Tribolium castaneum: one gene and its partners. The protein of the gene in region 7 purifies or fractionates together with the protein of the main gene of each other region. This does not show direct contact. Links are inferred from orthologs where the notes say so. Each region holds a gene or a part of one and is shown on either strand. Other genes may lie near its edges.

Region 1 (2,552 bases), on a different chromosome or scaffold from region 7:
CCCACAATTGCTGCGAATAGGTGACTAGTGACGGAGTCTTCATTATAAAAGGGCCAGTCGCTATCGAATTACTGTGATTATCTTTACTTAACAATGTTTTAGCGTCGAGTTCAGTTGTACTTGTTATAGGAGGCCCAGCGATCCCTATGAACAGTGCAAGGCCAAAACAGGCAAAAAATGCTATAAACACCATAACAAACTCCCTCTTATGCATCGAATATAAGCGCATATAAACCGATCTGGAATTTCGCTCCTTGAATTTTTTTTTTTTGGTAAATTTAGACTAACCTTTCACATCGATCGTGGTGATATGCCGGGGCTATGTATTTATCAAATTCGCTAAACAAGTCACTGAATTGTGACAGGACGTTTCGGATTTTTAAAAGCCAGCCGCCGGAAGGCAAGTGGTAGGAATATCCGAGACCAACTCCGTCTAATTTTGCCATTTTTCTAGAAATGATTGTGAAGGGAAAATTTTTGGACGGGTTATTGATACGCACCTAGATTTTAATTTGGGATAAATTATTCAAGTATAAAGCTTAATCTAGATCAACTGATTTGTTGTAATAGGTAAAAAATAGTGTACCAACAGGTAATTTGTACAATACTGGAAGGTTTGCTCGCATGGCGGGTTTATTGATCTGCGCTAAGGCTAAACGCGACAAAGTGATGGGCAGTCTTCCAAATGTTGTTTCATGAGCATTTTGAACAAAAACTAGCGCAAAAATGTATTAATATAAACAGTTTTTCGAAAACTTTCCATAATTTTGTGAAAAAAAAACATCAATAAATTCTACCAAAAAATCTGATAATGCGTGACTTTATGTCCAAAGCTTCCAATTTTTAACACTTCAGGCCTTATCTTTTGATAAAAAAGCTATTAAGTAATATATGGTTATGTATAAATGAGATCAAAGCTGATCTATCTGTGTCAACTATTATAATTGACAAAGATAAAATTAAAAAAGGCTTTTATGCAGGAAATGTTTAAAAGTAAAAAAAAAGAATGTTTTCCATGTTTTTTAGGACAAAAAAACATCTTTGCTTACACACAAAACATTTTTTGAAAGATTCTATACGGTTTTTAAGGTTTTTTATTCAAAATTTCTTTTTTTCCTGTTTTTAAAGAATATAAAACTTTGGTTTCGGCTAAAAAACATCTTTTTGACCTTCGGCACACTCAGTCCGTGAACGTACAGATTTCATATCAATGAATAGATATAATTATCTTTATTTTATTTTTTTGTGCGTTTTTTTTTTAAATTCATCCTCCATCCTTGGGTAAAACTGTTGAAAATATTTAATTATTATTAAATGACAAAACAGCGCTTCCTGTAATATCAATTTTATTAAGCTCGTTTTATTATTAAGTTTTATTTATGCTGTCAATTATTATTATACAGGGTTGGGCAAAAGTATGGAACCAAGCGTTTTTTGCCTAAACTATGTACCTTACGAAAAAAATAATTAGTACATCATCAACTACTTTTAAAATGTGATTACTTTTCAAGAAAATTTTTTTTCGAAATTCCGTTTAGTTTTTGAGTTATCCAAAAAAATATATTTTTTTCAAATGGCACCCTACTACGGCGATTTTTTTTGGTAAAAGATTATGCTCTAAAAATCACCTCTAAATCAATAATTTTGTTTTTAAAATTGTGTAATTTTAATGAATTACTAAAGTTGTGTTCCGAGCTCAAGGTTTTTCAAAAATCTCTTCGGCCAAATTCGGAAAATCGTCGTAGTAAGCTCGGAACACAATGTAAATCAATTATTAAAAAAAACACTGATTGAAAAATAATATTATTAAATTAGAAGTCATTTTTAGAGCATAATCTTTTATACAAAAAAATTGCTGCAATAAAGTGCCTTAAAAAAAATTAAATAAGTAACCTTCAAAATAAATACAATAACATCTAAGGGTGCGCTAAAAGTATCCCGAAAAAAATTGAGAACAATTTATTATCTTAGGGGTTTATACAGGGTGAGTCAATAATGAGTTATTTCTGAATTTTTGTTAATATGCAACCAATAATACTGATTCCAGCTGACCAGATCGGTACTCATTTAAAAATTTCAAAATTTATCCCCAATTACATTGTTCTGAAGATAAAAAACCAATGTTGATTCAATTGATGTTTTTAAAAATTAGTCATTTGTCATTTGTTTCAAAAAACTTCTTGTACTCTCCATTAAAAAAGCAATATTATTTAACAATAACTGTTACTACTGTTTGGGTGCTTAAGTAAAATCAAAAAGCCCTTTATTATCAACTGTTTTCCAATTAAAATAAAATACTAGAAAAAAATAGTCTACCAATGATAACACTTGGTAAGTTATTCTCGTTTGTTTTTTTCCAAAATTATGGAGTAAAACTTAAAAAGGGGCAAATTATTAAAAAACTTATTAGTACTTAACTTTTATTAAAAAAAATAGGTACACTCAATCGATAATATAATTGGGATGAACCACCAACATGGCATCCTCCTCCTCCTGCTGATCCCTCCCAAGCCCCGTCCTCGTCAAGGGAATAATAACTTGATCCTAAAACC
Region 2 (3,765 bases), on a different chromosome or scaffold from region 7:
TATGTTGCTTTGAATTACTTTTTATGAATATTAATCGATTGAAAAAGCACATACCGGTCTTTTGGACGACTTTATGTTCCGAAACCCTCCAAGGCAGCTGCACATTGGCATTCTCTGCATACAGAGAATCCAAAACCTCCTGTCGTTCTTGCTCATCAACCCCGCTGAGATCCAGAAATGTAATGTTGTGCTAAAACGACGAAAATAACTCAATTATGGCCAAACTCCGGCCCAAAAACCACCAAAATTATGTAAGTCTGGAGAGGTAAAAAGACCGAATTTTGATGCTACTTACTGCCTCGAATGGATCCATGATTGCGGTATCTGCTATTTCATATTTGTGATAAATTCATTTCACTGCAACTACTCGAAAGTTAACATTTTAGGAGCAATAACAAAAGTATTAAACACACGGGGTTAAGTTTTCACGTTCCATTCTGTCAACTGTCTGAATTACAAATCTAGTGACTTTGGCGTGTCATGTTGGCAAACGCAGAGCGGGCTTTTTCAATCTTTATTTACAAAAATCAATTTACATCATTTTGATACATTGACGCATTCCTCCTCTTAAACGCTTTACCGCAGTTTGGTTTTTCCTCAACCGGAACTTCCACTTCTTTACCGCAATTTGATTTTTCCTCAACCGGAACTTCCATTTCTTCAACAGTTTCGTTCAATTCCGGTTGAGAAATTGTTTCGTCCACAAACGTTGGAACACTTTCATTCACTGGTTGGGGCAAGTCCAAGACTATTTTTCTCGGTGTTGTCTTACTTGCACTATCATCACCTAAACTATTTGCACTAAGATCAATTGCAGAGTTTGTACTTAAATTAAGAATTAAATTCAACGGATCATCGATTCCCAATTTTTTACAAAACAAAACGGTCTGTGAATTACAAACTGGCACTGGTTGCGTTAAATTTTTAGTCTTATGACCGGAATAACCTTCAGCTGTTTTCTCGAAATTGTTTGGAACCACCAGATCACCAAACAGGTTCAAAGTAAACGATTTTTCCTCCTCGTCTGGAGTAAAGCACCACCTAAAAATTTTTTTTTTAATTTTGAATTGTGCCGCCATCTGTTACCATAGTTACGAAAACAAAAGACAAGTAACCATAGTAACGAAAATCCGTGATTTTGATTAAAAATTACCTCTCATTGCCACTAGGCCCTGGTAAATAATTGGTCACATTTTTAACACTTAGCAGATGATTTGTTAATCTTAAAATAGTCAACCATTCTAGATCGTAACTAATTTCAATTTTTTCCAAATTCGTGTCATGAGGTACATCAACAACTTGCAGAAACCTTCTTTTAGGAAGGCACTTATCTAGTGCAAGAAATTTGGTGATTTTGCCACACTCGTGTGGCACCACTGCGGCAAATTTACAGTGCAAATGAGCCGAAAACCAATAATCTGGCTTCAAATGATTTAGCAATTCTTCGGTTGGTTTGCTACCCAGTTGTCCTCTGCTGATATCTTCTCTAAAAAATTGATAATAATCACAAATTCGGGGAAATCTTGATTAATAAAGAAAATTTCCCTGGTGCCATGTCTTCAGAAACACAGGGAAACTTCCGTTACTGTGAATTACTCGAAAAAAGGTTTAAAACGTATTAATTGCGCCGCATTTCCATATTGCCAGATCCCCGAGGGCCAATCATGTGATAAAAAAATATCCAAAGGTTGAGACAGTTGTTTCAACCGAAAAACTTCCAAATTTCTGATGTGATAAACGCTGCGTTTTGAACTATCGCTGTAAGGCGAATGCTCAAAGTGACCTTTCATGTAATCCTGTCCTTTGTAAATCCCCGAAATGCCCCCAATTCTTAAACCTGAACAAATATTAATTAAAGAAGACAAAGTAGCGATTTTAACCTGCAATATTGACCACTCCGGCATAACCCAAGTAGTAGATGTTCGGGGCCACCCAGCCCCCATATGGCAACTCTTGCAGATAATTGGACGCTTCGTGGTTGCCCCCAATAAAAATCGTGAGAATTGGGGCTGTTTTAATCCCGGTGTAATACCTGAAATTTGGTTATTAACGCAACGAAATGGACGAACTTTGATTACTTGTAAAATGAACAAATGTTGTAGTATTTAGGGGGCACCGCCATGCACCGGAGGTCCGCTTCATTGCGAGAAGCTTGAAAGTCGCCACAACAAATGAGCAAATCGATTTTAAAGCCTTCCTTCTCTTCCAAATATTGCAGAGTGTCGTAAATTATTTCCAATTCGCCGTGGGCACAACCTTCGACCGCAATTTTCATCTCAAAATAATTTTCAAAAAAAATTGTTGGTTAAAAAAATGTTTGACAAGTCCAAGGTGAGGGAAAGTCGGCAGATGGGAAATCTGATATAAGAAAACACTAACAAAAATAATTAATTGTGCGTTAAACACACAAACAAAAGTATACATATTATACGCTGTTGTAATCTCAATGATTAAATATGTATAAAAAAAAACTTGTTAAATAAAATAATTGTTTTTTCATTTACCGTTATTCGCTTAATGTGTACAAAGTGGGGGCCAAATTTCCAACCTAACCTATAAAAAGTCAGTGTCAAAGTTGAAAAACCGTAATGTGAAAGTGTTGCGTTTGCGAGAAACTGTTGTGTGTCATGAGGCGAAAAATGTCGTTGAAGACCGTCGGTATCGTCGTAATTAGTGACGAGGTTCTTTCCGGCGAAAAAACCGACAATACTAGCAAATATCTGATCAAGGAACTGGCCTGTTTGGACTATAGTGTGGGCAAAGTCTCGACAATCAGTGAAAGAGAAGATGTGATTTTTAACGAACTTCATGCACTAATGAGGTCTTTCGACATGATAATAGCCGTTGGTGAGCGATGCGGGGTTATTTACAGAGCACTTGGCAAAATGACCTCACAAGAACTTGAAACTAGTGATGACCTAACTCGAATACTCGCAGAGATTGGCGAGAATTCGAACAAAACTGAGACCTTATTGCCGCGGCAAGCTAAAATTTTGCATTCGGGACACAGTTATCCCGTCGTTTACTTCCAGAGGATTTTTATATTGAAGGAGAAGTTTCTGAAACAGAGTTTCACCAAAGTTTTAAAGAATCATTTATTGAAGTATAGGAAAGAGAGAAACTTGCAAAAAATAATCGAAATCGTTAAAAACGGAAACTTGACAATTGATTTAAATGAATTTAAAACCAATGGTCTCCAACTGGAATTTAGCAAAACTGATAAGTGTTACACTTTCAAAGTGTCGAGTCCAGAATTGCGCGAAATGGTGGAATTTGAGAGGAAAATCAGTGACAGGTTTCAAAATTATAATTTAAAATTTATCGATAATTCAGACGTGTGGGAACACGTGTACTCCAGCAATGAAACACACATCAAACATGCAATTGAAGTAAGTAAGAGGTAAGACAGTGTACCCGCCACTGGTTTGACTCATCGTAGTTGTCACCATGACAATCCCCATTCATGTCCTGCTGTATTACCATAGTTACAGCACGTTTCTATGGCAACTGGAGGAGCCATGTGCGACTCGTCAAATAATTTTGTTTTTTCCAGAACATTGAAGAGTGTTTGCAACAGTACGGTTTAGAGAATATCTTCGTGAGTTTCAACGGCGGAAAAGACTGCACCGTTTTGCTCCATTTGGTTTTAACAGTCGTCAAGAAAAAATTTCCTCAACATTCACAACCAATTCCCTGTCTTTACGTCCAAAGTGAAAGTCCCTTTCCCGAGCAAGACGAGTTTATTGACTTGTGCAAATGCTACTA
Region 3 (4,010 bases), on a different chromosome or scaffold from region 7:
TTCATGCACTAACAAACCAGAACATTACCAAATAAAGTCTAAAATTACAATCTTTTTGACTTTTTTTTGAGCGTTTTTTCAGCGAAAAATGTGATGAACACTTTAAACAAAAAATATCTTTAACTTATACTACTGAAAATATTTAAATCAAGTCTAACAATTTGGTGCTTTTTTTAGATGGCAAGTGTAATTTTTAGATGCATCAGCGTAAGATAAACAACTAAGAATAAAATTGTTTCAATCAGAATCTCGAAATTTTAAAGAGATTTAGAAGTCAATAAAACCTCTTTCGATTTTTAATGTTTTTTTTTACTTTTTTTTATTAAAACTGTGATTATTTGTAAATAATTAAAGGTTGCAAACATAATAGACCATCATATGTCAAAAAGTGGCTTGCTGCAAGTTTTTACCTTTCAATAGCATCCACTACATAACCATCAATTGTTTTAATGTTCAAACACCAGTTGATCACAAACGGACGGTAATCAAATCCACTGGATTAAGTTAAGAAATTGAATAAACAATAAAAATGAGCAAACAAAATATAAGCAATGTCACAAAGGATACATGTTAGTGTTGCCAAAGTTAACACAAGGGTTATTAGCGATGGAAATATTTTGTAGATTAACAAGATGAACAAGCTGAGAAATTTCATTCAAATCCTCAATGTTATTATTAGCCAAAGTCAGGGTTATTAAACTAGTAGGCAGGAAACGATCACTCTGTCTAAGATGATTAATTTTGTTATTGTGTAGAAAAAGCTCCTAAAATCAAACAATCACAACAAAATTTCCCGAAAGAGGGCGCTAGGTTCAACAATTAGCATGGTTACATGTATCTGATCACCATGCTAACGAGAGAAGATGGCGCCAAAAGAAAATTTCACACAGAGACAAGGTAATATAAATTTACAATACTTTCTGAAACAACAGCAAATCGAATAGATTTTTTAAATACATTTTATACGCTTTCTCAAAACTATAAAAACGCCAACGTCGCATTTTCTCTCAAAATTAGTTATTATAGATTATTTATAGTAGAATTTTGCAACAGCGCATTTGCATTTTTTGAATGAAATGGAGCACAAATTGAGAGTTTCTCAAAGTGTGTCGTTGGGATTTAGTTTAACACAGAATTCTTTTTCTTATACAGAAACTTTCAATTTGTACTTCATTTTTCTCTCCAAAAAATACAAATGCGCGGTTGCAATTTTACTATGAGCCGAAATGGAATACACACGGTGATTCAAAAGTCTCGAATCGTCTCTTGGGCAGCTATAAAAAACATCAGAGTCAAAGTTCCTATGGCAAAAAATTGTGTGAACCTTTTTTCACGCTATATATCGTAGCTTTCCAAAGTTAGGTTTTTAGATTTGAGGTTTTCAGGTCAAATTGTTTTTAATTTATTTAGCGAAAACGACAAATCATGCAATCATTAAACGGACATCTGTTAAAAAATCACCAATCAGCGATATTCCAATCATTTAATACACGTAAATTTGGCAAATTATATAATAATTTAAATCTGACATGACTAAAAACAAAAGAACAACAATTAAAATAGCTGCTAAGGAAAACAAATACAAAAATATATTAAAAATTAAATGGCAAGTTGCTTGGAAAAAATGGACTTTCTTTACTGAACGACGCATATCACCATACGAGAGTTGGTTGGATACGTTTGAATCACGCTGTAAGTATAGCAAAAATAATTTCATTATTGTATTGTCTTCCCATTTATGAAATTCTTCAGTTAGATGATTTAGAAGTACGATGAGTTTAACATTCAACGCTGAATGTTTTTTTTAACCTTTCTTTCCTCCTGTTAATTTTAACTGTTCGTATTTTTTAAATTTGAACATAAGGCCACTGAAAAATAAGTACACACCAGTTGATAAGAAGGGCAGTATGTACCTCTTGTTGCTTATCTAGAGTGAGAAAGCTGCCAGTCTATCTTACCTTATCTCTGCACCGCACGAAATTTCCCGAAAGAGGGTGCCACGTTCTACAATTATCATGGTTACGATACGGTAACCATGGTAACAACACAATATGGCGCCACATTTAAGAGAAACTCAATTATCAAGCAAGCTATGAACTAACCTTTAAATCTTTCAAGAATGCTAAATCATTGATGTGCGTAATGTTATTCTCCGACAAATCTAAATGCTCTAAATTCGTGTTAGTATTGAGATGTTCAATAGTTTTTATACTATTCCCAGCCAAGCAAAGCCACTTTAAATTAACCAGATCCTTGAGCCCCTCGATTGTGAGTATTCCGTTATGAGCGAGATTCAAAGTGTGCAGAGAATGGAGGCGACATACGCCATACATGCGCAACAATTGATTGCGCACTGCTGACAGCTACAAGGGGGCCCTTAAAACGTCGCGCACTTAAAGCTACAATTTTACCTTCTGTAGCCGAAACAACGAGTCGATGTTATCCAAACGTTGCAGTTCGTTATCGTCGAGTATCAATGTTGTTATCACTTGCGATTCCTGAGGCGAGAATTTGGCGAGTTTTTTGAGCTTCTTGTTCGACAAATCTGATATTTCCTCTGAAACGGCAAATCACATTGAAAATTCACTACAAATCCATTTACTTACCCATTTATATTTAACTTATACGCATTTTTTTATTTGCTAAATATTATTGACAGGTAGGTGATGGCGCTAATAGAAGGACGGCGATGATCAGCTGATTATTAAATTGTTCCACATTTTAAAATTGTGAGCAGGAATCGTTGTGTTCCTTTCACTTATAGAAGTTTAACTTATTGGTTAGAAAATGTAAGTGCATGTGTTGGATTATATTCCATATAAACAATAACGATCACGTCCTATGGTTAACTTAATTAAAAACGTTCAAGTCTAAAGCCTGTCATCGTCAGAAAAATCAATAACAGTTCAGCCTGCTTTGGTTGATTTCGCTCGATTTGAGAAACATTCCGTCAAAAATAAGTCAAAAATTATATGTTTGCTAAGATGATGCTCTGTTACCTTTTTAAGCCCGTTTGTGAACTAGGATTTCAAGTTTCTTTTAGGACACTGCTGGAATAGACAGACATTCAAAAAAATTTCAGATTAGTTGAATATTACTTTACTTTTAGTTTTGCAAAGATTGTGTTTTTTAATGTTAAAGCACGTTTTTGAAGTTATAGCTACATCTGTTTTTATATGAATGCGGTATCGTAGTAGGTATTAAAAGATTGCCGCTTCTTTCCAGAAAAAACGAACAATGCTCGTATATGATAACATTGGTCAAATTGGTTTTACTGATTGCCTGAGTAGATAAAAATTTGTACTTTTCAGAAATTTCTTAAAAATAAAATAATTAAATGCAGAAAATTTAAATTCCAAAACCACATGAGATCCTGCACTCTTTTATATACAGTCCGTATAATACATTATTTTGGACAGAATTTGTTAGAATTCACAAAAGGATTATAAAATTGGATCTAAACAATTTCAAGCTGGTTCATTCGTTTTGTGAAGAAAAGACTATTTTATTTATTTTTGGTTTACTTGTTCAAAATTTTTAAAAATAATTCGTCAGAGATGGTGCCGTTTAAATTAAATTCTCAGTTTTTATTGACTAAAAATTACCGAATAAAATGAATGATTGATTTATTTTGGTTTGTTGTTCAGTTGTACTGTTCTGATAATGAACGCATCTGTTTTTCAGTTTTACGAGCTCCCTTATCAATTGACAGCTGACATGACGCATAATAGTTGCCAACCTTGCGCTGGTAAAAATCAATTTTGCTGTTAATTTATCTCCGAAATCAATACAACACGTGCCCCCATATTGGGGCTTTTTATGCATTATTATACCGTCGTTTAAACTGTGTACGTGTTGTGTCTTGCACCGTGCTTAAGTAAATGTTAATGATTTGGGGTAAGTTGGCAGTAGTGACACCTAATGAATATGGAGTTATTTGCAAACGAAGAAAATGACTTGGTTTTCTCAAATGATTAAAGTTTATTGATAGAAAAACGGTGTAAAGTACG
Region 4 (4,042 bases), on a different chromosome or scaffold from region 7:
TACCTTCCCCAGTTATCTACTGCAAAAAGCAAGGTACAGTTGAGAATTTTTTTACAATCCTCGATTTCAATGCGACCTGAAGGAACAGCCAGGAGAGAACCATCAGGTGAAAAATCTAAGCGTCTGAAAAATGACTTGAACGTGTCATCATGAAAATATTTCACTTCTTTGTTGTGAAGATAATGATCTTCCGGCACCGGTAATAGACCCTTGTGCATTCTAGCCTTCACCTGTTTACCGGTATTTTCAAAAATGCGGCAGATGCGGTCGGTACTGATTGTGGCCAAAAACTGACCTCTGGGATCCCACGACACGCCCTTCAAATTTCGAAAAATTACAAACACTATATTTTTATTTAGCAATAATTTACTTGGACAAATCCCTTGTGGTCGGTTAAAATCTGTTCATTTTTGCCTTTCTGAAAATCCCACAAAATGGCAGTGTTGTCTATAGACCCCGATAGAAGTTTTGAGCCATCGGGTGACCAACACAAGTCGTAAATGTCTTCCTTGTGCCCCCGCATTACTTTATGCACTATCCATGTCTCTTTATCGTTCGTTTCTCCTTCCAGTAGAGGGATATTATCGGTTTTAAGTTGCCAAATAATGATATTTGCGTCGTCATCAGCTGTCGCGAGCTGCTGCCCCCCTGGTGACCACCGAACTGAATTCACAGCTCTTTGGTGTCGTGTTAGATCAGACAAAGCCTCGATTTTAACACTACCGTTTTCGTTTATTGTTAATTGCCAAATCTGAAGCACAGCGTCACAAGACTTAATTTTTTTAAACCGAAGCTTACCAAAACATGACAATCGGCACCACCAGTTGCTAACCTATAAAATTTCTCCAAAACGGGTTGAATATGAACACTCAAGACGGGCTCCCGGTTGTGCCATGATATTTCTGGTATCGAACACTTCATTCTACGTTTAGCGGCTTAAATTGTGAAATACGAATAGTAGCAGACACAAACAAGGCGTTTTTTACACAAAACAACAACCCAATAAAAATATTACGACCATTTGGCGCCAATTTACTAGTCTCCTCGTTGGGGATTTTGTTTTTACAAATGTAATTTTTTTGTATAAAAATGAGCAATTCTATTGAATGAATTGAATTAAATTACAAACCTTTTCGTGAACGAATATAAATTAACACAAATTAATAAAAAATTAAGCAAATACTCTATTTAACAATTAAATACTCAAGTAAAGTCTGTAAATTCTAGTAAATTTAGGTTTCTTTCATTTAGATTGCCAGCGCTGTCTGTTAAGTTTGTGAAGGTTAGAGGAGCCGATTCGGTTTAAAAAAAGCGTTTTTTAATGAAAAATAGTCGTGATTTATGTTGGTTACCATTCTGATTCATTATTGAAATTTAGCAAATCTGGATGAGAAAGTAGAAACAATGATTGCTGCCTCAGATCCACAGGTTCGTGGGTGCTCTCACTCAGTCAATATTTTGCGTAAACTTTTCAGGAGTTTGTTCCAAGTGGACGGCAGCAAACATTGAAACACCCAGGCCCCAATGGGGTGCCCCCGCAAAAAAATTTAGGCCAAACTGAGGACCTACTCCTTGATAAATTTGAAAAGGTTTCAATAAAAGAGAAAAAAGACAGTGAATGGTGGATTTTGCGGAAAACCCCCTTGTTTGAGTCTGCGGCAAGTTGGTGCTACGGGACAAAAGACAGTTCTTGTACTAAAGTTAGTGTGAATCAGGACTGTAAAAATGACAAGTCTTACAGCTATCAAAGCTGCGATCATTCACAAAAGACTAGCAAGAGAATATCTGAGAGTTTTTCGAAATTTTCACTCAAGCATGAAAGCTTGGCTCATGGGGGTACGTGGGACCAATTTTTTGCATTTTTATTTTTTTTTTGATTCCCAAGGGCCAAGCTATGAGGGTTCTTTTGCCAAAAGTCACGTCAGTTTTATGGAGGATGAACTCTATGTCAAGGGACACACGGCAGTGTGGTCCCGAGGGCTAAACAATTGTGACAATTTAGACAACGGTAGAAAAACAATTTGTGCTTACACTTCCCTTCTCCCTATAAAACACGCCGCTTGGTGCACTTTCCACTGCGAGCACCCCAGATATGAAACCGACGCTTTTCCTTTTTCTAACAAAGAAGAGGAAACTAAAGGCGTGCCGGTTCCTGCAATTTGCATCATAAATGCCCATAATATTCACGTTTTCACCCAAAAAGGTGAAGATTTCGTCACTGCTATCCCGTTCCAAATTAGCAAAATGTGGAATACGAAGTACGGAATTTTTCTCGAACGGGAAAACGAAGGTTTGCATTTTGCATTTTTTTTCATTTATTAACGCAATCTTTAAAGGCCACAATTCTACAACGTATTTTGAAAACAGAGCTTCGCTCTATTCCTTAGCTTTTCCCTTTGATGAGGTCTGTCCTGTTGCAATAAATGTTGGCACACATATCCAAGTCCTGAATAATAATAGTTTTAAATTGGTTTACACCAGCGAAAATCCAAGCATTTGTATGATTTACGATACTCAAACCAGGCAACACAGTGTTTACGTTATTAGAAAAGTAACAATCAACGAAAAGGTAGAGTTTGCAAACAGGATGAACAGCACTTTCCCTTCAGCCACCAGTTTATCTAACAGGGTAAAAGAGATTAAAAGTCGCACACTTGCGATAATTAATAATTACAGTTGAAAAGTCGTCTTTCAATGTGGGATTGCGGAAAAAACTCGAATTATTTAAGCGTCCCCAGCCCTATCAATAGCCGGCCAGGAAGCGTAGCAAGTTTTTATAACCAAATGCACCACTCGAAATCGCACAGCTCAATGGCCACAATCAGGTTGACCCATTTTTCCAAATTTTATAATACGAACTAATTATAGCAAGTTAATCGGTTTTGTTACTGAATTATACTAAAAGTGTAATTTGGGTCTTTATAGTCGATGCCAGTCACCTGCCACTTCCTCTATCGGAAGTCCGTGGTTGCAGAGAGCTTCGCGTTTGAACACTTCTATTCCAAGTGGGCCCAGTTATTGTGCACCAAACAACTGTTCGTTTTTCGACTGTTCTAAACTGATGTCTTACCTGCACACAAACCCTCTTATTTGTTTGGACCACCTATGGACTGATCCGAATTTGACTCAGTAAAGTTTTTTTTATTTAAAAAATATTCAATGATCAAGTGATTATTGTAGAGATGATAACATGTCGAGTGCCACATCTAAAGTATTTTTGTGCGACGACTTGACACACCAGTGGTACCTTTGCTACATTTTACCAGTGAAGTGCCAGTTGTGTTTAGTCCAAATCGACTTTACAGACCCGAGTAACATTCGCTTTGGAATGGTTAACAGTTTGAGTGTCAAAGACGCAGTGCCTATTCCTGTGAGTATCACACATTGAATTTTTTCCTAATTGTAATTAAGATGTGCCACATGTTGGCCGTCCTGGAACACAACGGCAACGTCAGCCTCTACTCTGGCCTTACCCTAGTGGGGAAGCTGCACATAGGGGGCACCCTCGTCCAGCACACCCCCTCGCCCTACGTCCGTCGCAACCTGGCTCAGTTTAACTCACCTTTCCCGAGGTATTTCCCAATTAAAACCTCCAAACCGCTCAACTTTGCCATTCCAGACGGAGCAGTCTTTTGCCCCATTGCAAACAACTAGACCCCAAGTTTGACGACCATTTGCTATCACCGGTGTTACCCGAGACAACAAACGTGTCTAACATCCTCCAGCTGAACTTCCAGCACGAAAGCAATTTGCCCAAAGCTGTCCTGAACGGTTTACGTGACCCGATCGAAAACCGCATCACTTTACGATACTCTGATGGCACTTACTACAGAATCACTCTGCCCCCCTTGACTGCACACCCACTAATTGAAAATTGTGTAATGGCGTTAAAGCAGTGTCTAAACCGTGACACCATTTCGGTGGTTTTGACCAGATGGTACGCCACTCGGAACGCACCAGGGGCCCAAGACATGAATCTCGAGCAAGAATGGAATGCGTTTGAAACGCTGCTTTTAGGTAATTTGGTTTCGTTCTAAATCGT
Region 5 (3,500 bases), on a different chromosome or scaffold from region 7:
GGATCAAAGGCGTCAAGCCCTGCTCAGTTTGCAAATTCACGTCGTGGTAGTAACTCAAAATTGCACGCATTACGTTAATATTGCCCAGTTTTGCCTAAAAATAACACAATTCAGAAATAAAATTAACTAGACGCCCTCTGGTGATGACATTTGAACTATGCCGAAAACAGTAACGAAATTTACGTAATGCCACATTTAACTGACATTTAATGAATTGTTCAACAATTTTGCGTGTATAGTGTTAATTACTTACAATAGAAAGAATCACTTTAAAAGTACGTGGTGGTAAATACTAGCGTTGACTTTGGTTCTGTAGTTTTTCGAAGTATAAAGTGTTTATTGTTGGAACTTGAAAGTGGATAAAAAGTGAAAAATATTTAAATTTTGATTACAAAGTGTTATTAAACAATTGTCTAATTAAAGATTATAAGTAATGGATCACAGCGAACATAAAGTTTGGCTCAAGAAACCAATAAATTAGTGAAGTGTGTGAATTTTAGGTTAGAATTTTCCACTGAATAAATCATGAAATGCTGCGGTAAATCTACAAAACTACAATAAAGATTAACAACTGCTGATACATTTAAACGTAAATTATGCCAAAAGGTAGGCTTTTCAATGTCTTTGTAATAATTTTCCAATAAAGAAAGTGAACAAAACAGTCATTCGTTATTCGTGTTTTCCTCGTCATCTCTCATTTGTCAACATAAGTTTCTTGCATCAAAGATACGATAATCATTCCGCATAGGCAATGCAATAATTGTGAAGCCCCAAAAATCGTACAACGCTCAAAATATCCGAATAAACATTTTCCCGCCATCTATGGTTACTGTTTTCGACCTAGCTCAGTGGCACCCCCAACGGTAATTTTACTTCCGAATTCGGAAATAAAATTAACTAGACGCCCTCTGGTGATGACTTTTGAACTATGTCGAAAACAGTAAAGAAATTTTTGTAATGCCACATTTAACTGACATTTAATGAATTGTTCAACAATTTTGCGTGTATAGTGTTAATTACTTACAATAGAAAGAATTACTTTAAAAGTACGTGGTGGTAAATACTAGCGTTGACTTTGGTTCTGTAGTTTTTCGTGGTATAAAGTGTTTATTGTTGGAACTTGAAAGTGGATAAAAAGTGAAAAATATTTAAATTTTTATTACGAATTGTTATCAAACAGTTGTCTAATTAAAGATTATAAGTAATGGATCACAGCGAACATAAAGTTTGGCTCAAGAAACCAATAAATTAGTGAAGTGTGTGAATTTTAGGTTAGAATTTTCCACTGAATAAATCATGAAATGCTGCGGTAAATCTACAAAACTACAATAAAGATTAACAACTGCTGATACATTTAAACGTAAATTATGCCAAAAGGTGGCTTTTCAATGTCTTTGTAATAATTTTCCAATAAAGAAAGTGAACCAAACAGTCATTCGTTATTCGTGTTTTCCTCGTCATCTCTCATTTGTCAACATAAGTTTCTTGCATCAAAGATGCAATCATTCCGCATAGGCAATGTAATAATTGTGAAGCCCCAAAATTCGTACAACGCTCAAAATATCCGAATAAACATTTTCCCGCCATCTATGGTTACTGTTTTCGACCTAGCTCAGTGGCGCCCCCAACGGTAATTTTACTTCCGAATACTGGAAGGGTTCATATGGTTCATAAACCCACCGCTAGATGGAGTGGAGTCACATCGGGCATGTCTGGCTCTTGGAAAATCATCGAATTGTTAATCACTCCCAACAGGCGGCTAACTCCAGCTATGTTGCCTCCAGCCAAGGCATAATGAATTGGGGTGAAACCACGCCGATCCTTGACGAAAGGATCGGATTTGTGTTCTAGGAGGTATTCAATGCATTTGCCTTCGGTGTCGTAACCACAGGCTAAGTGTAGGGGAGTACAGCCCTCCATGTCAACAGCATTTGTCGAACTTCCGATACCAACAAGTGTGAAAACACACTGGTAGTGGCCTTGGGAAGCGGCATAGTGCAAGGGAAGACGGCCGATGTTGTCTTTTAGTTGAAACTTGGCACCGTTGCTCACAAGCAAATCCAAACATTCCACCGAACTGGAATTTGAATACACATTTTTGGAAGGACTAAAGTTAATAACTAATTCTGTATTGAAACAAATAGTGTTTTCTGGGAATGTTAAAAAAATAATCGAAAGGAATCTTAAAAAAAAAATCAAGTAATAAATATACTGAAGCTCCGGTTTCTTCAATGAAAGTTGAATTTATTTCCACAGAAACGATTGTTATAATCATAATAACTGTTCCTTTTTAAAAACAAATAATTTTCAAAGAAATACATTTTGAAGAATGAACAAATACAGGAGATCTGTAAAAAAAGTTAAAAATTTTGAGGAGTGATTTTGTCTTTACAGAGTCTTAGGTTAAAATAAGAAAAAAAAGTTTCTATAGACCTATGGTCGGAAATGTTTTCTGATTTTCTTTGACTGAGAGAACAAAGAAAGAAAGGAGACATGAAAGATAGCAGAAGTGGGATTTAAGGAAGAAAAGAAAACGGAAGAAGAAGAGTAGAAAACAGCGATGCACAAATCAAGAACATTAGAAATAAGAAAAAAATTTCTACAGACGAATGTCCATAAAAACTTCGTGATTTTCTGTGACTGAGAAAACAGAGAAAGGAAAACAGTAAACAGAAAAAAGACAGTAAGTAAAGAAGCCGTGAAAGATAACACAACTGGAGTTTAAGAAACGAGACAATGGAAGATAAAAAAATTGAAAAAGAAGAAAAAAGTGTAGAGAACAGTGGCATGCAAATCAAGAACACAATCAATAAGAAAAAAAGTTCCTCTAGATCTACGTCCACAATTATTGCTTCCTGATTTTCTTTGAAAACCGAGAAAGGAAGGCAGTGAATAGAAAGAAGTAAGTAAATAAAACAGGAGAGATAACAGAAGTGCAAGTTAAAAAAGAAGAGAGAATTGAAGATAAGATTGAACAAAGAAAGAAGGAAGGGGAAGAAAGAGAGAGAAAGTGGAACGCAAACCAAGAACATAAAAAAATAAGTAAAAAAGTCAAAGAAAATCAGAAACCAGAAACCAGAAAAATCTGGATATGGGTCTATAGATCTATGTCCGGAAATGATTTCTGATTGTCTTTGACTGAGAAAACAGAGAAAGGAAGACAGTAAACAGAAAAAAATAAGTAGTGAAAAAGACAGGAATTATAACAGAAGTGATTTAAGAAAGAAGAAAGAAGGAATAGGAAGAAAGGAAGAGTAGAGAACAGCGATACGCAAACCAAGGACATAAGATATAAGAAAAAATCTTCTATAGACCTATGATCAAGAATGATTCTTGACTTTCTCTAACTGAGAACAGAGAAAGGAAGACAGTAAAGAAAAAAAAATAATGAATGAAAAACCGAAGAAATAACAACTGGGATTTAAGAAAGAAGAGAGAAGGAAGAGGAAGAAAGGAAGGTAGAGAACAGCTATATGCAAACCATGAACATAAAAAAATAA
Region 6 (3,157 bases), on a different chromosome or scaffold from region 7:
TTCCATATGAAAAGTGGGGCACAGGTTCAGCTTCGAGCTTTTCTAACCTCAACATTTTTTGCAATAGTTTTCCTCAAAAGTTGTAGGGTATGTTCTTAGGGCTTTATTTATCATACTTATAGGCTAAAAACAATGAAAAATAACACAATTTTGCGCTATTATCAATAATTACAAATTCACAATTCGCTCGAATTGGATTTGCTGCCAAGTCTCATTTGTTCGAATTGGAATTTAGGTGGCCGTGGTCTACGTTATCAAGCTTTCGCAGTTAATGGAAACTTGAAAAGTATGTTTTTTATTTAAACAAACAAGATTAAAATGTAGCGATCTTTATTGCCACGAATTGTATTTGTTTTAGCTCCGAAAAATTCGAAAAATCCGAAAAATTTTGATTGTCAAAACTTTATGTACTTTTCTGCTATTTTATCGGTTCAAGACTTCAGTGCTAATACTAGAAATGTAGAAGCAAACATTTCCTAGACTTGATAAGCTCCCCAAAATAGTACACAAAGTTTTATTGAAAGCTCGAAACGTAAAAACATAAATTAAACAATACTTATGGATATTTCGTTAAATCAACTGTTAGAACCTGACTGACTAAACATTCAGCCGGCTGAGGACAAATCCCAATCAAAGAATCAGCATGCGAATAAAATTCCTCCTTCAACGAAATAACTATAGTCTGCAAAGACTCAGTCTTGCCCCTTATATACTTGGCCACTTTTCCTATATTGGTATTATCCAAGGCAGCATCGACCTCATCAAGCACAAAAAACGGTGCCGGTTGATAACTATGTATCGCAAAAAGCAACGCCAAAGCTGCCACTGTTTTCTCACCACCTGACAGGTTCGACATTGGCTGAAACCTCTTCCCTGGAGCCACACAATTGTAATTAATCCCATCCAAATAGGGCTCTTCTGGGTTTTCAGCGCCCAGAAACGCCTGAGCTGACTGATTCTGTGCCAAAGCTTTGTAAATGTTATCGATTTCGTTCGACACGTGATCAAAACACCGCGTGAAACGTTCATACCGTTGCTGTTTCATTTTCTCAAACGCTGCTTTCGCTTTCTTATTCTGCTTACGCAAGTTCTCAAACTCCTCGTTCGTCGATTGGAGTTTCCCTTGCGCGAGCTCGAGCTTCTGAATCGCTCGCATGTTAGGCGCTTGAATTTTGGTCAAAGTGTCTTGGAGACTCTTAATCGAGCTGAGGAGTTTATCTGCCATTTTCTTAATCTCGTCTTTTTCCTCCAGGTCTTTGAGACTGTCTGACAACATGTTGTAGTCGATTTTAATCCTCGCTTCTTTCTCGTATTGTTGAACTGTGCTACTTGTGTCCCCTGACGAGCTTTGGGACGGGTCTGAGGCCACTATATCTTCCATGTTGCCCACAATCATAGGAATAGCCACATCGTCCATTTTGCACTGCATTAAAATTGCGTGGCGTTCGCTTTTTTTGCCTTCGATTTTTGTTTCGAGAGAGACTACGGACTTCTGGGCGGCTTGCACGTCTTTCGCAATGCTTCCCACTTCTCTGCGTGCTTTTCCCAGCTCTTCTTCCATACCATCGACTTCCTGCTTCTTGTGGAGTCGCTGTGCTTTCAACTGCTCGACTTGTTGCAAGTCTTTGTCGATTTCTTCGCGTTGCTTCTGCTCCTGTTTCTTGCACGTTTCCAAACGTTCTTCCTCGTCGTTTACGGTGCGCTCCCAACGGCTTACATTATCTGAAATGTTTACCATTATTTACATTTACAAATAATAATTATAAACCAGTTTCAATTATTTTATGACTAACTTAATTCTTCAGAAGTACAATATTTTTTCAAACAACCAAAATGGTTTTCCGAACGGTCGTTTCATTGAAAGAGCTTTTTTCCAAGCGATTGACAATAATTATAAAAAAAAATTAATTCTAATTGTTAAAATTTATTTTTGTTAGGATTATAACTGTAATTATGTTTTACGTTATTATATTTTTATGTTATGTATTTAAATTTTATTCTTCATTTAAAATTCATGTCAACTTTAACTCAAAACTCTATTTCATAAATATTTAAAAATTAATTCCCCTTTAAGTTTAAAGCCACAATTTTCGCCCATTAACATATTTAATTTTCCACTTAAATTATATAACAAATAAAAAGCAGCAGTACTTCGTCTGAGACTGAAGATGATATAATTTGAGAAAAAATTACTTCCAAATTTACGACTTTTTTCAAAGATTGTAAATAATACAATGGTTCGAAGGTGTTAATGAAAAGGCTGATTTAGAGAACGAAGATTTTTTTTTTAATAATAGATTCAAATTACAGAGCATTTTGCTGGGTTTAAAATAATTAATTACTAATATTCTTTTACATTTGTTCCCAATTCTAAAGTATAATTTTGTGTTCGGAATATCCCGTATTTTTTCTGTAAGATGGCACTGTTTCAAAGTATTTTTTAGCCCTTTCCAAGTTTTTTACGTGTAAACATAACTATAAAAACACAAAAGTATTTTAAATAATTATAAACCAGTTTCAATTATTTTATGACTGACCCAATTCTTTAGAAGTACAATATTTTTTCAAACAACCAAAATAGTTTCCTGAACGGTCGTTTCATTGAAAGAGCTTTTTTCCAAGTGATTGACAATAATTATAAAAAATTTATTAATGCTAACTGTTTAAATTTATTTTAGTTAGGATTATAACTGTAATTATGTTTTACGTTATTAAATTTTTGACCATATGTAGTTTTTATCATGAATAAAGTGAAATTTTATTCTACTTATTTATTTAAATTTAATTCTTCATTTAAAATCCATGTCGAATTTAACTCAAAACTCTGTTTCATAAATATTTAAAACCTAATTCCCCTTCAAGTTTAAAGCCACAATTTTCGCCCATTTAATTTATTTAATTCCCTACATAAATTATGTAACAAATAAAAAGCAGCAGTACGTCGTCTGAGACTGAAGATGATACAATTTGAGAAAAAATTACTTCAAAATTTACGACTTTTTTGAAAGATTGTAAACAATACAATGATTAGAAGGTTAAATTAATGAAGAGGCTGATTTAGGAAAAAGATTTTTTTTTAATAAAACGCAAATACTATGTTAGAAAGTTTCAAATTACAGAGCATTTTGCTGGGCTTAAAATAATTAATTACTAATAT
Region 7 (3,318 bases):
ATTAAATTGGTTTCAAAACTTGACCTGACCTGACCTGATAACTCTGTGTACAACCCATTACTTTTTAGTTTTATTAAATACTAAGCTGCATTTCATTCTAATTCTCAATTTTAAATTAACAACATACAATTATCAAGCCAACTATTAAGTCAAGTCTCTGATGCATTCTTAATCTTTTTGTTTTTTTTTCTGTCATCTGTTCAATTTATTGTGTTATTGTTTATCATTTTCTTAAGTTTTTAGTTCGGCGTCAGTGTACAACTTATTAGAATAAATTAACAAATATTTTGACCCAATTAGATTAATTTTTCAGCTCGGTATATTTAGGAAAGAAACTCAGAAATTTAAAAAAATATAGAATTGACTACTTCTTTAGGAAATTATAACATATTTCACTTATTTCAGGTTATTCTTGGCGAAATTTCGGTTAAAAACAATAGCAGATTAAGTAAAGTCTTTGATGTGTTTTTAATCTTTTTTTATTTTTCTGTCATCAGTTTATTTAATTGTATTATTGTTTATCATTTCTTCATCAGTGTACAACTTATAACAATAAATTAACCAATAAAACTACATAATAATTCGTACAGATTTTGAACAGATTTTCGAAAATATCAATGATATAGTTCTAAAATTCTCTCAATTTTATTTATAAAAGGTACTACGTTTAGAAACAGTTGAATTTCGCCAATTTCTAGCAAAAATGTAATGTAACTTTCAAAAAAAAATTCTAATGAACGGTTTACTTATAAAGATGGGTTAAACTTTGCCCAGAAAGCTTGAGAAATTGTGTGATTTTGACGAATATGAGAATTTGTCCCTTACCGTTGTTGATTCCACTAAGCGGTTTCCTCATCGACACGTCATATTTCTGGAACCTGGGTGCCATCGTCAGACTACTGACCGGCAACGAAGACGGACAATACCCATCGGTAATAAACGGGTGTTGTAGCAATTCGGTTACTTTTGGACGCGATTTCGGATCTGACTGCAACATGAGCATAATCATGCTCTTCGCCGCTGGAGAAATAGTCGTCGTGAAACTAAAATTCAATTTTTAAAACAATAAAAAATCGATAAATCCCTTCAACGCACTGATATTCGCATTTCTTAATCCTTGAGTACGTTTCTTTAAGCGAACGTGTCTCAAACGGTGGTTTGCCCACCAGGAGTGTGTACATGATGCACCCGATGGACCAGATGTCCACTTCGAATGAGTGGCCCTTCTTTTGGAGGATTTCCGGTGCGATATAGTTCGGAGTACCACAAAGGGTTTTTTTGCGTTCGCCTTCGTATTCTATCGTTGCGGCTAAACCAAAATCGCCGATTTTCACCGTCAGTTCATCGTTGAGGAAGAGATTGCCGAGTTTGAGATCGCGGTGGATGATGCGCCTCTGGTGGAGGTAACTTACTCCGTTCAGGATTTGACGCATGTAGAAGCGAGTTTCGGGCTCGGTGAGCATTTTTCGGCGCTTTTGCAACTCCATCATAGACTACAGGAAAAAATAACCGAAATTACAGCACATATTTCAATGCATTTTTTTTTGGTATATTAAAAATTCGCTCATGGCAAATCAAAGAATACAAATTATCAGAGATAATAAACTGGTTGTGGTTTTGAAATGATTACAATTTTACGTATAAGGTAACAAAACACGGAACAAAAGTGAAGATGATTCAATTATTAATTCACTGGTTACAAAATTTCACTTTTGTCTGTTGCCGTAAATTTAACAGTTGATTGTCCATCAGCTCGAGTTTTTATTTTAGGGCTTATGAAGAGTGTAGAAAGTGCTAATAGGAGCTACTTATATCACAAAAACTAAAGGTCGTAGAAAAAAATATCTCGCCACTTTTTAATTATATTATTTTTTTGCTATTTTAACGTAGACTTACTATGTAAAATAATCTGGGAATCGATTAGCGTCGAGAAAATGGAAATGTTCTTAATAATTTACTAATAAATTTAATAGAGTTACGTGTATTAATTCCGGAGTTATTGCCCGATGAATATCAAAAACTCGTATAAATATTCACACTCAAGTTTCAAACAGCAATTACGGCAAAACTAAAAAAAGTGGTATTGTTTTACTGTAAACAAATGTAAAATGATCTAGGGAATCGATTATTTTCTCGAAAACTAGCATTAATCGGAGGAAAATCATCTTTTTTATTAAAGATACATTTAAAACTGTAGGCAGTTTTGAAATCAGCGTCCAAGAACAGCGAAAAAAATCTGACGCAACAGAAAAGTTAATGTCTAATTAAAGTTGTGTCCTTTTACCTCAAAACTAGAACTGAAAGAAAAAATCTGTCTGCAGTTTTGAAAACAGCGTCCAGCAATTACTTACTTATCAACAGCAAAAAAAATTAAAGCAACAGATGCTTAATGCAACGGTTGCTGCAGAATAAGCGCGAAATTTTTCCTTGATTTTTTGGCTTTTTGTTGACAATTTTGTGAAATAATAATTAATAACAACGCTTCTGCATTAAAAACGTGCCAATAAAACCCAGAAATTAAAAAAAAATTCTTTTTTTGCCCAATTAGGTCATTTTTCTGCTCAATATATTTATGTAAGAAACTCAAAACCCTGTTTAAAAAATCAAAAAAAATGGCAATGACTCCGTTTTTGAGAAAATTATAACATTTTTGAGATAATTTTACAAAAAATTTCGCTCAAGAACCAACAAAATCGAGTGAAACAGACACAACATCATCCATCATTTTTATTTTGAGTTTTTTAAATCAATAAATGAGTTTCAGGTTCAAAAACGAATTAAATTGACAAAATAAGATCAATTTGTAATTTTTCAGTCCATTTTAGTGAAGTTTTTCGAAAAAAAACTTAGTATGTCAACCAGTGGCGTAAGGATACCAGTTGGGGCGTGGGATCCAAACTCATTCGCGGGCCCCCATTACAGCCCCCATTCATAATTTACCTTAATATTCACCCATCTTATTTATATTCTACAAAAATTCTATTTTAAGAGTATTATTAACTTATTAGCCTTTTTTGTAAAAAACTAAAGTTTTAAATTTGAAATAAAATTAATGAATTAAAAAAAAACATTTTAAAAAATACAATAATCTTTACTTCTTGTAGCTATGTCTGTCCTGTGCTCTAAGCTCCAGTTTAGTTGAATTGGTTGGCAAATTTACAGATTAAACTTTTTTCACTTTCTTTTACAGAAAAACTGTCAATTTTTGGTAATTTCAGCATTATATCAGATAAGTTTGTAGCTACTCATTTTACACGACACTTAAAATATAAATTTTAGGTAAATAAATTGTTAAAATAAAGTACGACAATTTACATC

Evidence for each region.
Region 1: the proteins of polo (region 7) and Mcm6 purify together in Homo sapiens (affinity purification with mass spectrometry; 3 studies listed by BioGRID and IntAct, with this or other methods). This does not show direct contact. The link is inferred for Tribolium castaneum from reciprocal best matches to the Homo sapiens genes PLK1 and MCM6.
Region 2: the proteins of polo (region 7) and ldbr purify together in Homo sapiens (affinity purification with mass spectrometry; 3 studies listed by BioGRID and IntAct, with this or other methods). This does not show direct contact. The link is inferred for Tribolium castaneum from reciprocal best matches to the Homo sapiens genes PLK1 and DBR1.
Region 3: the proteins of polo (region 7) and Cep97 purify together in Homo sapiens (affinity purification with mass spectrometry; 4 studies listed by BioGRID and IntAct, with this or other methods). This does not show direct contact. The link is inferred for Tribolium castaneum from reciprocal best matches to the Homo sapiens genes PLK1 and CEP97.
Region 4: the proteins of polo (region 7) and shtd purify together in Homo sapiens (affinity purification with mass spectrometry; 3 studies listed by BioGRID and IntAct, with this or other methods). This does not show direct contact. The link is inferred for Tribolium castaneum from reciprocal best matches to the Homo sapiens genes PLK1 and ANAPC1.
Region 5: the proteins of polo (region 7) and serine/threonine-protein phosphatase 6 regulatory ankyrin repeat subunit A purify together in Homo sapiens (affinity purification with mass spectrometry; 6 studies listed by BioGRID and IntAct, with this or other methods). This does not show direct contact. The link is inferred for Tribolium castaneum from reciprocal best matches to the Homo sapiens genes PLK1 and ANKRD28.
Region 6: the proteins of polo (region 7) and SMC1 purify together in Homo sapiens (affinity purification with mass spectrometry; 3 studies listed by BioGRID and IntAct, with this or other methods). This does not show direct contact. The link is inferred for Tribolium castaneum from reciprocal best matches to the Homo sapiens genes PLK1 and SMC1A.

Annotation. Positions count from the first base shown.
Region 1 is NC_087400.1:6,009,953-6,012,504, forward strand, and holds the end of Mcm6 (DNA replication licensing factor Mcm6), read right to left. Parts: intron 2,545-2,552; coding exon 2,443-2,544; 3' UTR 501-2,442; downstream 1-500. Other genes in the region: transmembrane protein 181, read right to left, coding at 1-239, 289-446. UniProt on the Homo sapiens protein: Acts as a component of the MCM2-7 complex (MCM complex) which is the replicative helicase essential for 'once per cell cycle' DNA replication initiation and elongation in eukaryotic cells.
Region 2 is NC_087394.1:25,730,405-25,734,169, forward strand, and holds ldbr (lariat debranching enzyme), read right to left. Parts: upstream 2,348-3,765; 5' UTR 2,276-2,347; coding exon 2,079-2,275; intron 2,033-2,078; coding exon 1,881-2,032; intron 1,838-1,880; coding exon 1,597-1,837; intron 1,487-1,596; coding exon 1,154-1,486; intron 1,042-1,153; coding exon 528-1,041; 3' UTR 501-527; downstream 1-500. Other genes in the region: ubiquitin carboxyl-terminal hydrolase 10-A, read right to left, coding at 55-190, 296-313; FAD synthase, read left to right, coding at 2,628-3,389, 3,554-3,765. UniProt on the Homo sapiens protein: Cleaves the 2'-5' phosphodiester linkage at the branch point of excised lariat intron RNA and converts them into linear molecules that can be subsequently degraded, thereby facilitating ribonucleotide turnover.
Region 3 is NC_087402.1:12,399,459-12,403,468, forward strand, and holds the start of Cep97 (centrosomal protein of 97 kDa), read right to left. Parts: upstream 2,801-4,010; 5' UTR 2,702-2,800; exon of another isoform or gene 2,636-2,701; 5' UTR 2,611-2,635; coding exon 2,607-2,610; intron 2,558-2,606; coding exon 2,412-2,557; intron 2,364-2,411; coding exon 2,103-2,363; intron 765-2,102; coding exon 568-764; intron 495-567; coding exon 411-494; intron 1-410. UniProt on the Homo sapiens protein: Acts as a key negative regulator of ciliogenesis in collaboration with CCP110 by capping the mother centriole thereby preventing cilia formation. Required for recruitment of CCP110 to the centrosome.
Region 4 is NC_087397.1:4,714,695-4,718,736, reverse strand, and holds the start of shtd (anaphase-promoting complex subunit 1), read left to right. Parts: upstream 1-1,242; 5' UTR 1,243-1,404; coding exon 1,405-1,428; intron 1,429-1,475; coding exon 1,476-1,836; intron 1,837-1,885; coding exon 1,886-2,290; intron 2,291-2,336; coding exon 2,337-2,629; intron 2,630-2,676; coding exon 2,677-2,825; intron 2,826-2,925; coding exon 2,926-3,129; intron 3,130-3,180; coding exon 3,181-3,370; intron 3,371-3,411; coding exon 3,412-3,572; intron 3,573-3,619; coding exon 3,620-4,017; intron 4,018-4,042. Other genes in the region: Caf1-105 (chromatin assembly factor 1 subunit B), read right to left, coding at 4-317, 371-751, 799-921. UniProt on the Homo sapiens protein: Component of the anaphase promoting complex/cyclosome (APC/C), a cell cycle-regulated E3 ubiquitin ligase that controls progression through mitosis and the G1 phase of the cell cycle.
Region 5 is NC_087401.1:12,711,891-12,715,390, forward strand, and holds part of serine/threonine-protein phosphatase 6 regulatory ankyrin repeat subunit A, read right to left. Parts: intron 2,078-3,500; coding exon 1,681-2,077; intron 95-1,680; coding exon 1-94. UniProt on the Homo sapiens protein: Regulatory subunit of protein phosphatase 6 (PP6) that may be involved in the recognition of phosphoprotein substrates. Involved in the PP6-mediated dephosphorylation of NFKBIE opposing its degradation in response to TNF-alpha.
Region 6 is NC_087394.1:36,167,408-36,170,564, reverse strand, and holds the end of SMC1 (structural maintenance of chromosomes protein 1A), read right to left. Parts: intron 1,723-3,157; coding exon 557-1,722; 3' UTR 501-556; downstream 1-500. UniProt on the Homo sapiens protein: Involved in chromosome cohesion during cell cycle and in DNA repair. Central component of cohesin complex. The cohesin complex is required for the cohesion of sister chromatids after DNA replication.
Region 7 is NC_087398.1:11,004,490-11,007,807, forward strand, and holds part of polo (serine/threonine-protein kinase polo), read right to left. Parts: intron 1,494-3,318; coding exon 1,096-1,493; intron 1,044-1,095; coding exon 826-1,043; intron 1-825. UniProt on the Homo sapiens protein: Serine/threonine-protein kinase that performs several important functions throughout M phase of the cell cycle, including the regulation of centrosome maturation and spindle assembly, the removal of cohesins from chromosome arms, the inactivation of anaphase-promoting complex/cyclosome (APC/C) inhibitors, and the regulation of mitotic exit and cytokinesis.